Linked DNA regions of Neodiprion lecontei. The protein of the gene in region 1 purifies or fractionates together with the protein of each later gene. This does not show direct contact. Links are inferred from orthologs where the notes say so. Each region holds a gene or a part of one and is shown on either strand. Other genes may lie near its edges. The genes, in order: 3-hydroxyacyl-CoA dehydrogenase type-2 and mitochondrial ribonuclease P protein 1 homolog.

Region 1 (8,516 bases):
TGGATGCAAGGAATCATGGCATTATCAATTTTGATTTTTTTCTCCATTAGCAGATGTAACTGATTTAATTTCCTGCAAAGTTCCATAAACTCTTGCTAAGGGAAAATATTTTTCTTGTTTTACATAGTCAACGTAGATGACAATGGTCCATTGACTAAGATAATGTGGTCGGTAGGAGAGAAAGGTTTGGCGATTGCGTTTTTCGTTTAATTGTTTGGGGAAGAAACACCCAAGAAGATGATAGAGTAAGACTGGCTGAAGACTGAAGAAGCTATTCGCAATCACCAGCTGCTTACCTTTTCAAATCAGATGTATCTGCTTTTTCAATATCAGAAGTCTTAACATCCTGTGATTCCTTTTTGACAGTGGCAGTTTGATTTTGCTTAGAGGCAGGATTTGGTTTAGAAGATTTATCGTTGCGATGCTGATTTTGGTTTCCATTGATACGTTGATTGCCGGACTGGTTTGCACGAGATTGTTGCGCAGATTGGCCACGTCGCCCAGCAGGGCCATCGCGGGCGCGAGGGCCCATCTAATCATTTGGGTTAAATGACCAAATGGTCATAAGAAGTTTCTGATTGGCCGTGAAACGATTCTTCTTGAATCGAATTTGATTCTTATATAACCAAGTGGATATTTAGGGCAGGAAAATACATGCCCGTGTAAGAAGGTTGAGTGTAATAACATAAACCAATTAGGGAAGTTTTTCTCAGTTGATAGAAAGATAAAGAGATTGAATGCGTGTATGTGTGCGCATTTGTGTCTAATACTATCGGAGATTCGTTTTACATGTTTGTGGGGCAACAAAAGCAAATACTTGCAATTTTCCACTTTTGTCTAAGAAACAAATGATGGTTATGCAGATACCATATATCTGCGCATGAGCAGGAGTGAATGTCCACCAAACTACATAAAAGTTGAACAGATCAAAATGAAGACAAGTTTCACATATTCAAAGATTATTCTTGAAGCTTCTATCCAACAATTCTTCGTGAGAACCAGGACTCGAGAGAGGAAGGAAGAGAGAGAAAGAAAAAACACTGTAGTTAAAAGTTTCTTCAACTCGTCACATTGAGGAATGATATCGAAAAATTTACTGTAAAATTCACAAGAATGAAATAATCAGCATATTCATTTCAATTCATACCTTGTAGGGCTCTGAGCGACGGTTCTCCATCGGACGACGCATTGGACGGTCATTAAAACGACCAGGTCCGAAAGGTTGTTGACCTCGAAAATTTGGCCCTGGCCCACCAAAGTTGTTTCCAAGACTTAACAACGAAGGCACCTAACATGTACAGGACAAAACTTAAATCAAAACATTTATTGATGTTCTAAATCAAATTGAGTATGTTACAATAAATTCAAAAATAACGTCAATATAGGTAAAAAAAAAAAAAAAAAAAAAAAAACGGCACTCAAATAGAATGAATACGATTCTCAAATAGTTGAGCTGGAAATGTTCGGAGCTGACTTACTCACTGCTGTTTTCCTTAAAACTCTGAGATTGACAAATCTTTGGAATCCTGAGAGTTAAAATATTACCTGCGGTTGTACATCTTGTTGACCACGGAGTAGATTAGAGAGAAGATTGCTGGCTATCGCAAGTTGAGCCTGCGGTGAAGCAAGAGCAAGGTTGTTGTTTGGTGTAGGCAAAATTCCACGCCCAGGCATCATGCCTCCTTCCCAAGGATTAACCCCGCCCCCAGCATTTCCAGGATTCCGATTGAATCCACGATTCCCGAAAGCATCCCTCTTTGTTCCTCGGTTGAACGACATGTTGTCTGAAACAAAAATACCTCTATATTCGTATCATATCATAGCATGGCAAATAGCAACTTCGTTCTTATGCACCGCTAGTTATAGCTGAGCCAAGGCGAAGCGAACAGCTGCTACCATATGTGATTAAATATTATGTTAAACCTTCAGTATTAGCCTAATGTATGAAAAAACTTTGGTGCACTGGAAAAATAGTTGCTTTTTTTTACTTAAAATAAGATTGCTGAGTCTTTATGCGAATTTCGGCAAGAATATCTTTGAGTGAAAAAATTCCACAGAAATAGATTATGCGGGAAAAAGCTTGAATTCTTCGTGACTTGATTCACGCTATAATAGAAGGAAAAGAAAGAATGTGCATGCTGTGAACCTTGGTAAAAGTAGCAGGTATACTAAAGTTGCAAATGGTTGCCGACAGATAGCTTGGATATAACCAAGACGATTGAAAAGAATGTTTAAAAAAAATGTAAAGTAATCACGAATGCCGAGTCAATGCCGGATGTCTGTGGTTTATTTTTCGTCACACATTAAAAACAACATCTACTCACCAAAAAAATGATATTTTTTCCGTCACAATAATCTCAGGTCAGGTATAAATATCAAATTAAAGATGACACAAACGGAAGCTTCGTGCAGGAAAAAATGGAGGACAACCCGCCGGGTCAATAACGTCCTCAACCCACTCAATTCACTTCAAGTTGGCCAACCTCAACACGATCGCTCATTGGTAGCGGGGAAATAAGAGAGTCAACCATTGCACAAACAAAGTACATATAAGATGAATAATGAAAAATAGAAAGGTATGTTTCGAATTTGGACTATAGAAATAAATCCGGGAACCGAAATCCATTGCTCAAGTTCGACCTGAAAATTTCGTCTTACGTACGAGAACATATTCGCCAATTCGACAGTTAGATAGGTAGCTTTAATAGGTAGATTCCAAAGCGTCTCTATACCGAACATTAACATGGCCGATATTTACGGGTTCTGTTTCGTTATTTTATCGATATTACGTGCAAAATAAAGTGACAATGTGACTATTATTTAGATGTGATTTTGCTTCCGATAAAACCTACAAATACATTCTGTTTAGAAACATTTTCATGTTGCTTACCTCATTTCTGGCCACGCCTATTCAATAGTTGTCCAATTGTCTGTGAATTACTTTCGTGTCTCAAATCACCAGTGATTAGTGAGTGGAGAATCGACCCTTCGAGATACAACACATCACACGCGCTAGTTAGACATGTAGTAAAATCACGGAGTAGTAAAGTGTAATTGAAGGACACGTGGTTTGTAGAAGTGGAAAAAATAAACAGCTTAATCATGTTTTGATAAGAACTGAATAATTATCGTCAGTACAACGAGAACGATCTAGTTAAGAACCAGTATCATTTTGATCCGTCATTGTTGAACCAACTTTTCTACCGCAGACGGAACATGTTGAAGGTATGATAAATTTTAACTAAGTCAATTATGTCTGACCAACAGCCGAACGCCGGTATGTTCATCTTTTTTGAAAAATGCATATTGAATTATGAATGTAACGCTTATCGTTGAAAGAGTGAATTCTCACGATGCTTAGATTACCCACCTTCCATCCCTGCAAATAAAAATTACTAGATGGTCGATTGTTGTAATAATCGCGCCTAAGAGTGCAATAGTTCAATAATATATTAGGCGTTTTCTCATTTTGTTCGACCTATGAACTTGACTGGGGGGCAAAAATCTGCAAGTTTTTTCTGCGACGATTGAGTACTTTATTTGGGCTTTTATCAATTGTCTCAACAGGGAGCTGTTGCTTTAGTGACTGGAGGGGGATCCGGCCTGGGTTTGGCGACGGTCGAAAGATTTGTGAAGCAAGGGTCAAAAGTTGTCATTGCTGATCTTGCCACATCTAAATCACATGAGATAGCAGATCAGCTTGGACCATCTGCAGCATTTTCCCCAACTGATGTAAATTTTCAATTGAATCATAAGTTGATGTTTCAAAAATTATAGTTTATAATATATTAGGTATGATCTTTATTGAAAATATTGAAATGAACAACATATTCCCAGGTAAGATCAGAGGAAGATGTCAAAACAGCATTGAACTTGGTGAAGGAAAAGTTTGGTAAATTAGATGTGGTCGTAAACTGTGCTGGTATCGGGATAGCTTATAAAACATACAATTTCAATAAGAAGAGGGCTCATGAATTGAGTGATTTTGAAAATGTACTGATGGTCAACACTGTCGGAACATTTAACGTAATTCGATTGGCAGCTGGTCTTATCGGCGAGAATGTACCTAACGAAGATGGGCAGCGGGGAGTCATAGTCAACACGTCTAGCATAGCAGCTTTCGATGGACAGATCGGCCAGGCTGCGTATGCAGCAAGCAAAGCTGCTGTGGCTGGCATGACTCTTCCCATTGCCAGAGATCTTTCAACTCAAGGTATTCGCGTTGTGACTATTGCACCTGGGTTGTTCGATACGCCACTGTTACAAGGACTGCCTGAGAAAGTGAGAAATTTTCTGGCAAACTCGATACCCTTTCCTCCAAGACTGGGAACTCCTGCTGAATATGCACAATTTGTAGAATCGGTTATCGAGAGTCCAGTTCTTAATGGCGAAGTCATAAGACTGGACGGTGCCTTGAGAATGCAGGCATAAAGTAAATGGGTTCTCCTTTTATTACAGATCTATTTATTACGTTGAATAAATTATGTGAATAATTGTTATTAATAAATAAATGGATCTGAGCTAGCAGCTCGAGTCATACAGACATTGATTGAGATATTCCACTTGAAATGCGGAAAGCCACCACCCGTACAATCCTAATCCCACAAGACTTATGAAGGCGTTCGGAAAATTATCTGAGAGCTATATTACAGGTATCGACAATTCTCTTTATTACTTGAAGTCTGTATATTAATATCTTGTAAATATGTTGCAAAAATCGCAACTTACTTTTTAACTATTTTCACCTAGAGTATTAGCTAGCAAAAATTGTGTACATAATATTAACATAAAAATATTTAGTTACAGTATGATTAGTCTTTTTTTCCAAGAACCTCAGGAGAATTCCAAAATTCCAACAAGTGCTGAAATTTGTACTGATGATTTTTCGGAAGAGCCAATTTTTCTGTTAAGGCGGGACATTCTGTTGTTTCTCCGAGGCCAGGTCAATCCTAGGCATTAGATTCTTTCAAGTTTTGAAGTTTTTCTAATTGATCTGGTTGTAGTTCGTCTGGAATGCTCGCTCTTCCTCCAACGATTACCTTTTCTTGGACAATGTCTGGCATATCTGCCACTTGAGAATCAATTTCTGTGTCACGCGTCACCAAAGACTGTGAGTTCTCAGCAGTGCTGGGCCCAGATGTTGAATCCGCCTCACTACCAGAGCTGCTGCTTACTGGAAAGGGGGCTGAATCAGCAGAGAAATCGTCGACGACAGATTTTTCATCAGTTTCCTCTACTACCTCCACCTCGTCTCGTTGTTGTACGTCAACTTGTTCCTGAAGGTCACTTTCTGCTGTTTTCTTAACTGAATCTTTTGAAGATTTTTTAGCTTTGTCCTTTGTTTCCTCGGAAGCTTCGTCCCCATTACTAGGAAACGATCGCTCGATTTCTTCCATAGGCGTAGCTGCGGTAATAACTATCTGTGCTACACCCAAACCAAACTCGTCAGTTTCTTGAGAGGACACTATCCTTTGAACTTCCACATCAGATTCTTGCTCTTGTTGATTCTCATCTTCCTACGATCCAAAGTTAAGTCATAATTTACAATATGTTAGACAGGATCTATAGCTTTATGCGCAATTTCTAAAGTGGAATAAGATTCTGTTGAGACATTTCCTCTACTGTCTGATATTATACACATTTGTGTGCACGATTGTTTTTACTACTCTGACTTGACTAATGTTTTGGTCCAATATTATTTCTTACAATTTTGTTAGCCAAGATTCCAGTGATACATCACTGGATTTGTCTGAACATTTTTTTTTTTACTGATGTCAAAATCTTACTTGGGAGTTATTTCAGTATAATTCTTGATTTACCTGAGGAACCGATTCATCAGTAACTTCCACAACTTGAGCAGCGAGAGAATATTTATTATTGAAAATGTAAACACATGAAAAACATCGGCTACCACATGAATAAATAAAAAGAGAACGAGAGAGAAAATAAAATGATATTCTATGAACTTGCATACCAAAAGAAAAGAGTATTCTATGTAAGTTATTTTATCGATAAAAATGATTATTTGAAAAATTTACTTCGTTGCCAAAAATTGATGAATTCTAGGACTTCAACTTTGGTACTCTTCAAGTACATACAGGATCCCAACGAAAAAAATCAACGTGCACTCGGTGTATTTGTCATTTTTGAAAGTACCTATTATTCCTGGTGGCTGGGTATCAACATCGTCTCCAAACTGTGACCCGTAATGGTCGTGTTGATTCTTAGATAATTTGATTGCAAAGCCCTGTTGATCGCTCATCACTTGACTCGGCATATTTTCAGAAAACTCTACACAAACAGAGCGATGAGGAATAAAGGAATTTCATAGGTCTTTACTGTAGGATAAATGTGAATGTCATCTTTGTTAGACGTTCACTTAGTTAATAATATTTGTTATTACCAGGTGGAATAGGTTGAGTGATGTCATCAGATAACAAAAACTCTGGTATTTCAGGTGGTGTAAATACAGGTGGTGCTGAACTTGGCGGTGTGTTGTCCTCCTGTAATGAAATCAAAATGATTTCACTATTTCTATGAGTTTTACATGTCATATCTTGATTTAGATTGGTCTCAAAATTTTCTATCGAATCAAATCCTGTTCAAAGTTTACCTGCGGTGTCAAGGGCGATCCATCAGCGGCACATGGTTCAACTATGAGAGATGGAAAAATGCCACATTGGCCACGTAGTTCTCCTTCCCACCAGCCATCATCGACATCGTGTGGTTCTTTTCTTAAAACTCGCATCACATCTCCTTCCATGAAACTGAGCTCTTCAGCACTGTTGGCATCATAATCGTACAACGCTATGCAGTACTGTGATGTACCTGGAATGCATTTTAAATGTAGGATTGCTCTACTAGTAACACAGTCCAAGTCAGAAATGATTAATGAATATCATTAATAATTACCATTTATGTGGGTTTCTATGACTGTGTTTTCAGTTGTGTCCTGTAAATTCATATCAGGGTCAACAGCGTCATGGTCATCAATAGTATAATCTACTGAGGAGAATGAGATTTGCTGAACAAGAGTTCCAGGTCCTTGTGAACTTAAACCAGTTGTAGTGTCGACGTCTCTTTCAACATCTAGATAATTCTGAGGCACAAATCCCTCTTCACCACGGTAGTTTCGTGCTCGAAGCCATCCATCTCCATCACCCTCACCGACAACGTCGAGTTGCTCACTTTCAACAATCGATAGTTCATCAGGGTTTTGTGCCTAGGTGAAAATCAGTTTTTTATTCACCCATTACTCCACCATCTTGTTCGTTAGTAAGTCTTTATTAATTTACACTTCAGAATACGAATATACTGACTGTGTATGAATAAAGTGCTGTGCATTTGTATATTTGCTGGTTAGAAGCGACCTCTGATGACTCTTGCGCTTGATTTGCATCAGCTTTGTCATCGTCATCCCAGTCGACTGCAGTTGCATCATCCCAACCAGCAGTGAGTTGCTCTATTCGTTGCTGTTCTTGTTCCAACATTGCTTAAAAAAAATTTTTTCAAGTAATCAGCAATGAATAACGTAACAGCTAAGAACTTAGTAGTCAACGATTAGGAACAATTTTTTTCTGTCCTTTACCATCAACTTCTGTACTGTCATGCCTTTGCCTATCTGCCTCTTCCGCATTCTCTTCAGATTGTTCTATGGCGCCATGATTCGTGCCTGGCCTTTCAACTGTAGTGAGATCACTGCCACCGTCACCATCACTGTCATAAAACGAATCTGAGGACGGATGTTCCTGAAAATATCCTTATTCTCCACATTGTTGCACTTGATGTTCTTGGAAATTAGGTGAGAAGGAATAAAAGCAAACTTATAAACTTTTGATAGTAATTTTGATGCATTAAGCACAAAATAATTGCTCAAGCGTACCGCTACTCCAGATGCATCAGTGCGAAATGATATAGAGCTGGCGGAACGAGGCATATCTTGCACACTCAACGTTTCAGCTTCTTGTAACAGTTCATCAATGTTGACTATAACAAATTAATACTTTTGAACACGAGGGAAAACTTATATTGAATACATCTTGTCGAATTTATGAGAAACACAGAATTTTAGTGCTTTTAAATAGCCCGGAGAACATTATCCCCATGAACGAAATATTCATTCTATATTACTTAACTCACCACCACCGTTGCGAAGACATTCGAGCCGCGCTTCAGCCTTCATCTTTGCCGTCTGCACGATAAAAATGAACAATATTATGTTAAGTTGTAGAAAACAAGTTTACAGTTGCAATTATATGATTTGTGTGAAAACGTACTTCTGAGCGTCTGATAGTCTGTTTCAATTCATCCATCTTTGTATCCAGATCAGGTCCATTCGGATCATTAGGATCCGACTACAATTGAAAATGCGTTTATTTAATGATCACCTATTTTCACAAACTTTATCATCACGGCATAAATGGTAAAAGACTTCAAATTCTGTTGAAGTTTTACCTTTTGTCCAGATTCTTTGAGCTGTTGTACAAATTGCAATTTTTTAGTAGCTTCTCTTATAG
Region 2 (8,778 bases), on another chromosome or scaffold:
GAAGCTTGAATGGTCCTCGCAAAAAAAACTCCGGAAATTCGCTGTATGATTGATCCGCACACGAAAAAGTAATAATACGTATTTAAATATAATCAGCTTCTTTAACAGTCCAGAATCCCAGCGTTCCGTCGTTCGCGGTAATTCGCTGTCATCTTCACGACGATGATCGAAAACATGCCAAGCATTGGCGGTGCATTACGACGATACCCAACCTAATACAACCCAACTCAACCCGAAAGCCTGAAAGACGCTATTGTCAAGTAGTATGATATACCATACAAAAAATAGTAAAGTTTAATTTTTCACGCTCCACAAAAGCAGCAATGGTGTCCTGCGACGAGATTAAATCCGAGTGGATATCAGTGTCGAGTAACAAAGGAGCGGAAAATGATGACTCGATTATTTTTACCGAGCAATTCGTGAATAAGGTGCAACACTTCAGCTCACAGTACGGAAGTGATAAAAGCATATCCTACACGGCGTACAACATAGCTGGTAACCCGAGCAAGTTTCCCGACTATGGTGATTTTCCTCAGGCATTTGTCATGGTAAGACATCATTTGCCGGTATAATTCTCATCCGCTTAACCTCAGTATCTCTGTAATCTGTTATAATTATTTCTAGAGAACGTACGGCTGCTGGTGGGACAAGGCGCCATCCAGACTAGTTGATTACATGCCGCAGAACAATGACAATGTCGTCTGCCAGGACTACATAGGTATGGAGACCACAACAACAACAATGACGATCCATATTCTTTATTACTGATAATTGAACCCTGTTACAGATGTGGCGTACGATCGTGAGGTTTATCCAATCAGAGTGTCCATATATGAGACTTATAACCCGGGCAGCGTTGTTGGAATTTGGGCTGCCGATAGCAGCGGAAAGTGGAGCCGTCTTTGGAGAGGGCTGCCGCAGGTAGTTTCACACAAGCCAAGGATATTTTCTCCCCCTCTACAGCCATGCTGTTTCAAGACCAAGATGCTTAGACTGGAGTTCAACCACAGTAAGCAGGACTATTACACAGAGCTGGATGCCGTCCTCCTCATCGGCACTTCGGAATTTATTCAACCCCACTTTAGATTCAACAATAAAAACTTGAGCACCTTGCTTCGGCAGCTCAACGACAGTACCCTTGATTGCGATGACGTTTATAATCTGACGCCAGATTATTTACAGACACACAAAGATTTAAGGGAGCTGAAAAACACGTTTTACAAGCACTGTCAACTCTCGAACAGGTATGTGATCCAGTTTTGCACCGTGTTTCTCGTCATTTCCAAACTCGAACTGGCAAACTTTTGATTTTGCAGAAATGTTACGGGTAGGATACACAAGGGGACCATAATTGACAGGCTAGGAACTGACTACCACTGCATACCGCCAATCGAAGAAGCAGTTAGCAGTCTGCACAGGTTTCTCCAGGAAGACTTTCCAAAATTGATGCAGGACATCGATCTTTCAACTTCCTCAAGAAGTGCAGTGGCTGGAAACAAGACTGGGAGTTCGTTACAGTCGGGTGATATTTGCGGCAGTTTTTCTGTGTTGCCCGTAAGCGTTTTTTCCGTTTTAATACATTTCTTAATAGAACAGTAATGAAATAAATTAGCCACAAATTTTTAGTATAATTCAATTACAAGCATTTATTTCACAAACCTGCAGGACGAAGCGGTACTGAAGATTCTTAGAAATCTCGATCTCAGATCTCTCTGTCGCTGTTGTCAAGTTAATCGGCATTTCAACAATATAGCAAGAGATGCACTTCTCTATACCAGCCTAAACTTGAAACCATATTGGTACTGTATTGACACAAGCGCGCTTGAAACGCTGGCCTCGAGGTGCCAATATCTTCAGCGTCTAGATCTCTCCTGGTGCGGCAACTACAACACGATAACATCTAAAGACATTCAGGAATTTCTCACGTCCAGCGGAAATCAGTTGACGCACCTTAGATTCAATTCCTGCCAGTTTGTCAACAATTCCGTGATACTGAAGGTTTCCATGATCTGCCGAAACCTAAAAGGTATTTACGTTTTCATCTCTCAATCGTAAAAGATTAATTGACCGTTATCGTTCGACGCACAGAACTTTGCCTTCGCAACTGCGTGGAGATAACTAAGGACGGATTTTGGCCTCTGGCAAACCTGCAGCAGCTCGAACGTCTCGAACTTTACAGAACGTTGATTCAGACGCCGTCGCTGTGCGCGATTCTTAAGGGAAATCGAGGCATGCGCCACCTGAACCTTGCCGCTTGCGACCACGTTCATAACATGGACGATATCGCGATGGAGGTTGCCTACTCGTGTCCTCACCTCGAAAGCGTTGATTTCTGGAAGAGCCATAGCCTGACGCCCCACGGAGTTAGAGCCCTCGCTCGTTGCACGATGCTTAGAGAGGTCGACTTCGGATGGTGGTTAGTATGAAGGAGAATTTTTTAAAAAACGGGAACTTCGAAGTTTGACTAATTTCAGCCTAGGCATGGGAGCTCCAGGGGAGTCGCTAAGAGCATTGGCTGCGTCCTGTCAGAATCTGGAGAAGGTCTTTCTCGCTGCTCTTCGCGGCCTCACCGATCGTGACCTCGAGCCGTTTTTAGCCTGCTCTAAACTCAGACAGTTGGATTTCCTTGGCGCAAGATCTCTTACTCCCGAAATATGTCTACGATTTTTATTATATTGCACTCAGCTGGAAATGATGGATCTCAGCTTTTGCGAAGGTATAAGCGATATGAAGATACACGAATGGCGTCAGCTTTATCCTCATGTATCTATTAAGCGTAGTTTTCAAGCAAGTGGATCGGTTTTTACATAGTTCATCGATGTTATTGCTCTGTTCGTCCGTTTATCAGTTGCTTTTTTTTTTTGACCATGTCACCTTGCAATAGTCCGAAATTCCCGTCTTTACAACGTATAACCATTGGAGTTTTGTCGGATGGTCTGCTTGGTTTTTTCCCTTGTAGATCAGTTCCATTTTCGGTGACATTTTACATCTTTGCACCAGGAAATCATTTGAAAAACGAATTTTCACTAGCTTGCGAAATCGACTTGGATTAATAAATTTTGGTGGACGAGTGACGATGCGTCGGGGAATATTTTATTAGAAGGTGACTCGAAATTTTTCAGCAAGCAACAACAACCTCTTCCGGTTTATTGTTTTATTCGTATAAAGATTGTTTTATTATTATTTATTATCGTGACATTATTGATAGACGCGAGTATATTTTATAATCGTTAATTTTTATCAAGTCTACACTGTATCTCCTTGAAAAACTTTTCTCTGGGATGATAAGCAATATACATCATCACTATTAAGAATGATTAGGATATTCTACATATTTAGTTCAAATTTGAAGTGTCGAATTGCCGTGGTGTCATATTATCTTCATATTAGCTCACGTTCTTCTAAGCTTGAGATCTTCGTTCGAGTAGATATACCTATGTGAGTACATGCGTATGGAGTAGTGCGTACTTAAGAGCAGAGTTCTTTCCGTCCAAAAGACTGATCAAACATGTGCTTTTTTTCCACTCTTCGAAGCAATCGTTCCTGCATCATGTGACTGAAAAAAGATCCACAGACACGATATAAAATTGTACATATCAAACGCAGCTAATATAATAAATCTGGAAAACAATTGTACCTCTGGGGCCTTAGAAAAAAAAAATATGGTGTCTGTACACTGACAAAACATAAAAATACACTGTGGTATTAATTGAATGATATATCTAAATTATTTCATTTTTGTTACAGGAATTTTTTTATTAGAGGTAACCGTGCCGCAGGATTTCATTGATAATATAAAGGTGGAAGTAAGTGTTAGCCTGTCTGCACTAATGATCAGTATATTGTTCTCATTTGTCATAACCAACAATCCTGGTCACATTATTTACAATCCGTTATTTATTACGAACTTTTCTTTTGTCTGTCTCGAAAAGTGTATGACGTGTTCAGCGAGTGTCCGATTTTCGTTTTCGTAGGCACGTATTGTCTTTTTCTTTGAAGCTCAGTATTAACCCATGAGGGAGTTTGGGGCGGAAACTGAACTTTGCCAGTTTGTAATTGGTCAAGAGGCCTTTCCAACTTCCTAAGAGGGACGTGTTTCAAGGCCTTATGCCAATCTCCGGTGGTCCTGATATCCGCCAAGATTCTTAGCACATGATTAAGTGGCAAACGTTTGCCAGAGCCTGAACCCCATAGCAAGTACTTGTCTAGAGGGAATTTGGCCATTCTCAGACCCTCTTTTTTTGCCTTTGCCAAAGAGAGGGGCTGGTTGTTTGTCTTGTCCACCATTCCGCCTATTATGTAGATGGAGTCCGGTTCGTACTCTGTCATTTCGGTGTTGCAGTGCGGCGTCAAGTAGACCAGCTTCTTTTTGTCATAGAGCTCGGTGTACGAACATTCCTTTATTTCTAGTGGAAAATCAGGCTCGTTGGCATTTGGTACAGATCTGTAAAACTTTTCCATAACTACCGAAAATTTATTTACATTGCAAAAGGTGATGTAAAATGGATCTCGGAGTACGCGATTCTCCGCAAACAAGAAGACGAGCTGTTTGGCGCATTCTGACGACTCGCGCACTGTCATGTGTTTGTCGTATCCGAGGTCTATTATCACTTCAGGACCATGGATCTTGGCCATCATCATACGCGAGTGGTAGAAGCGATTCATCGCTGTGTCGTATATTCGCAGGAAAATTGTGTTTTTAAACAGCCTATACGCCATCTGATCGACTTCTTCCCTCCCATGTTCCTGCAGCTTCTGTTCCCTCTCTATCCTGGCTAGTTCTTTTTTCTTCCTAAAGTTTTCTTGGGTCATTTCAAGCTTGAAGAGGTACATCAGATATCGACTGCAAATTGAAATTGACAAGTTCTTATTTATCTCCGATCATTTTTAATGTAAAAACATATTAAACAAAATTACCTTCTCGCAGATCTCGTTTCATGCCTGATCAATTGCAACCAATGTTGAGGCTTTAGCTCCTTGGGTATCAGTCTGCCGTTCTGTCTCATCACCTCGACTTCGAGCTGGATCACTTTGTAAAGTTTCTCCATCTCCGGGTCCGAGTCCATCATAGCTTGAAGCTGTTCGCCGCTTACAGATATTGTGACATTTTTCTCCAGATTCTCCTGTGTCTCGCCTTCTTCGGATATCTTGCCGACTTTCGTACAAAAACGTCTTTTCGACGTGTGGAGAATATCGCAGGCACTCAGCTGTGCCTCGATCGCCGGCCGGCAATTTCGTCTTGCGGTCCACCTCAGCGGCTTTTTCGTCAATGTCAGACAACGCAGTACTCGATTAAACATATTGGCTAATTTGGAAGTTTTATAGCTATCAAAAAATCAGGATTTTCGATTCATTTGTAGCCAAGTTGAATTTGCCGCATGCACCGCGATTATTTCTTAACCTAACATTCTTTCCAATTTATTACTCCTCTCTAAATATTCCGAATTGACAGCTCTTGATAATCGAGCCAACGTGATTATACTTTTGTAGTTTGGCAGTTTACAAGAAAAGGGTTCGCGAGTTTTAATACTTCGAACGCCTTCGTCTGCTTATTTTGTTTTGTGTAATACGGAAAATCGTTGAAGTGCGTGAAAGCGGACCACGGAGTAGAATACAATTTAAGACACTACGGATCCCGTGAAAACAGTCCAAATGCTGAGGCTACGCCAGACTCACTGCGTCACCTGTTGGTGGTTGTCGACTCTGCTTGACGGACGCGTATCGAGGATATTGCAAATTGTGTTAGCAAATACAAAACTGATACGGACAATTTTTTATCCTTTCGTGTATAAACAGACGAGGAAATACAGCCGTAAGTTGAACAGAACAGATTAAATCACCCTAACTCACATCGAGCAAACTGTTGGATAATTACACGTTGACAATAATAGTATAACCTAACCTAGATGCCTTTATTTACGCTTTTATGCTTGACGTAGAAACGTCAAATATGCTCAAAGCGAAGTTATTCTATTGAAAATGCATAAAATGAGATTGTCAATGACGGACTAATTCTCGTTAACCTATTTCACAGCCTAAGGATAATACCGAATATGGAAAACAGCGGGGAAAGTGGCGATGACGGTGGGCCACTTGGCACTTCAGCGTTTCTTGGCGGTGGAGGCGTGGGAGCTTCTTATATCGGTGTCCAGTCCGATGACTTGGAAGGTACGTTGAACATTTTTTGTAGAGTACGAAGACCTTAATGCGTTTCCAAAAACAAAACGATGTCGTTGACGGTGCTTCAACAATTAGTAGCTATGCAATTTATCATATAATTATCACCGGCGACAGATGATCCTGAAAATACAGACGACTCGAACCACGGAGGAGGAGATCCTCTGCAGGGAAGAGGTGGTGGGTGTCCTTTGCGGGAGCAGGATCGCTTTCTGCCGATTGCTAACGTAGCCAAAATAATGAAACGAGCAATACCGGAAGCTGGCAAGATAGCGAAGGATGCCAGGGAATGTGTTCAGGAATGCGTATCTGAGTTTATATCTTTCATAACATCCGAAGCGAGCGACAGGTGCCACATGGAAAAGAGAAAGACCATTAACGGAGAGGATATACTGTTTGCTATGACCACCCTCGGCTTTGACAATTACGTAGAGCCACTCAAAGTCTATCTACAGAAGTATAGAGAGGCTACCAAGGGCGATAATCCGGGATCTAGTCCGGGCGTTGTGCCCGGTAATGGAAAGTCGGTTGATCAGCAAAGCACCATTTACGACGACCAATTGTTCACCATTGCTACGACTACTGGCAATGCCACAACTTCGGATGCTCCCGTTATATACAGCTACGCACCTCCTGATCAAATGCAATTTCAACTTTCCTGAGTAATACGCTAAGGTATCTTATACATATTTTACAAGGCTGACATTTAATTTCACAAGATTGAAGCAGGGGCCTGAATTGATGAACTCTAAAGACCTGCTACTTCGTCTTTTTTCGAAATATGTCTATGATTAAAAGAATGGTAGGGGGGAAGTTCCGTTTTTTCATATTTTTTTTTTTTTTTTTATTTATAAAGATTTCATTTATTATCATCACTATGATTTCTGCTTTCTTGCCTTTTTTTTCTTTCTTTTAAGATATGTCACACTTACTGAAATATTAATTATCTACGCGCCGCCTCCGGCTTCTTATGAAAGTAACAACAATTTTTCTTTATAACCATGAATTTTTCTTTTGTCTGGTTCCTTTTTTTTCAAGCGAAGGAAGATTCTTTTATAAATAAAATTCCTATATTATTTCAATCATAGTATATATAACATACTCCCTAAAATCGCTAGGCAGTAGATATTGGTATCTAATATCTTTTGCTTGTCTATTCGTACACACCAGTGCTGATTATTATTGTTATAATTATTATTCTTTTCCTCAACTTTGTTCTACTCTTAGCAATGTGATAAATTAACGTAGCGGTATGATATATATATATATATGTACGTATGTATACATGTCAAATTTTTTTCTTTTAACCAACAGGCATAATTTTTTCATATATGTGAGAAAATTTAATTTGCCCTAATTTCAATGGTATTAACGTCACGGAAGTATATGGGCAGTAGCATCTAATTTTCAAATCTCCGGACTCTTTGAATAAGAGTTTGAATTAAAAAAAAAAAAGCAGAAAAGTTGTATAGTACATACACATATTTATAATGAACCAAAAGAAGAACAATCAAAAAAATAGAACAAACAATTAAAAATTATGAGACAAGTCCATGGTATATTTGATAACTTTGATTTTCCAGCTTGACGCGATTATTTGTCAAGCTCAGTCGTGATTGTATACCTATTATAGTATAATTTGCAAAAATGGTGCCGCACCTAGATTATAGAGCAGGCTTAGTGAGTTAAAAAAAAAATCAAATTCTTATTGCTTATGCAATTTAGCTTAAAAAGTAATAACGGATATTTAATATCAATAGATTATATTGAATTGGATTAACAATAATAATCTTTAGAAAAAGAACACGCGGCTTAGGTGTAGTCAATTCGAATTTGTCATATTAATGTACGTATAACATATCACTCCGTTCCGTTACACTATAAAGAGATTATTTGGATAATCGTAGAAAAAACATTGTCAGAGGCATCTGTTTAGTCGAGAGTATATCTGGGAAACTTGGTGGCGGGATGGCTTTTCCAAGCATTCTTCTTCTCTACGATTTGGACCCTGAAGTAGACGGTCATTCGGATAGTTGAGCCGCCGACAGAAGAAGCTCTCGCCCTTTCGCCGCTGGAGGGGGAGGAGAAACGGTCGCGGCAGCTGATCTGAGCGGCGGCAGGAGGGAAGCAGTTAGAAGAGAAGGAGCCGGCGGAACATTGTTCTGCTCCTTCGCCGAAGCCTTTTCCAATTTATCACCTTTCGCCACAGCGGACGACGACGACGAACTCCACTGGCATTTACCGCAGTGGCACAGGCACAGACACAGCAACACTCGCAACAGGCAACACAGCAAGCCTGCGCACAGGAGAGACGGACCCACCAGCCTCAATTCCGAACTCTGGAACCCTTTTTCACCCGTGCCCACAAACGATATCACCAGACCCAAAGCCGTCGTCCCAAGTCCGGCATAGAGCACCGTGTTCACTGCTGCGCTAACTTCACCTCTCCGTCGACCGCCACCCCACTCCTGCCCGTCTTCTTCTTCCTCTCCGCTGCTTCCGTAGCAGTAGCTGGCGTCCCGTATCTGGGAATAGAATAGTTTTCGACTTCCAAGTCTTTTGTTGCGTTCGTTGCGATTGGAAATGAACTGGTAAGCGTTG

The links.
Region 2: the proteins of 3-hydroxyacyl-CoA dehydrogenase type-2 (region 1) and mitochondrial ribonuclease P protein 1 homolog purify together in Homo sapiens (co-immunoprecipitation; 3 studies listed by BioGRID and IntAct, counting the BioPlex papers as one, with this or other methods). This does not show direct contact. The link is inferred for Neodiprion lecontei from reciprocal best matches to the Homo sapiens genes HSD17B10 and TRMT10C.

Annotation. Positions count from the first base shown.
Region 1 is NC_060261.1:5,803,041-5,811,556, forward strand, and holds 3-hydroxyacyl-CoA dehydrogenase type-2, read left to right. Parts: upstream 1-2,952; 5' UTR 2,953-3,216; coding exon 3,217-3,225; intron 3,226-3,567; coding exon 3,568-3,732; intron 3,733-3,837; coding exon 3,838-4,431; 3' UTR 4,432-4,549; downstream 4,550-8,516. Other genes in the region: zinc finger protein on ecdysone puffs, read right to left, coding at 297-532, 1,148-1,288, 1,546-1,779; protein nervous wreck, read right to left, coding at 4,950-5,516, 5,820-5,851, 6,157-6,291, 6,404-6,503, 6,614-6,828, 6,913-7,222, 7,320-7,492, 7,589-7,748 and 4 more. UniProt on the Homo sapiens protein: Mitochondrial dehydrogenase involved in pathways of fatty acid, branched-chain amino acid and steroid metabolism. Acts as (S)-3-hydroxyacyl-CoA dehydrogenase in mitochondrial fatty acid beta-oxidation, a major degradation pathway of fatty acids.
Region 2 is NC_060266.1:959,479-968,256, reverse strand, and holds mitochondrial ribonuclease P protein 1 homolog, read right to left. Parts: upstream 5,607-8,778; 5' UTR 5,301-5,606; coding exon 4,918-5,300; intron 4,844-4,917; coding exon 3,901-4,843; 3' UTR 2,865-3,900; downstream 1-2,864. Other genes in the region: F-box/LRR-repeat protein 4, read left to right, coding at 319-548, 625-718, 788-1,244, 1,317-1,554, 1,666-2,026, 2,089-2,416, 2,475-2,811; nuclear transcription factor Y subunit B-1, read left to right, coding at 6,054-6,168, 6,295-6,839; uncharacterized protein LOC107219454, read right to left, coding at 8,199-8,702. UniProt on the Homo sapiens protein: Mitochondrial tRNA N(1)-methyltransferase involved in mitochondrial tRNA maturation. Component of mitochondrial ribonuclease P, a complex composed of TRMT10C/MRPP1, HSD17B10/MRPP2 and PRORP/MRPP3, which cleaves tRNA molecules in their 5'-ends.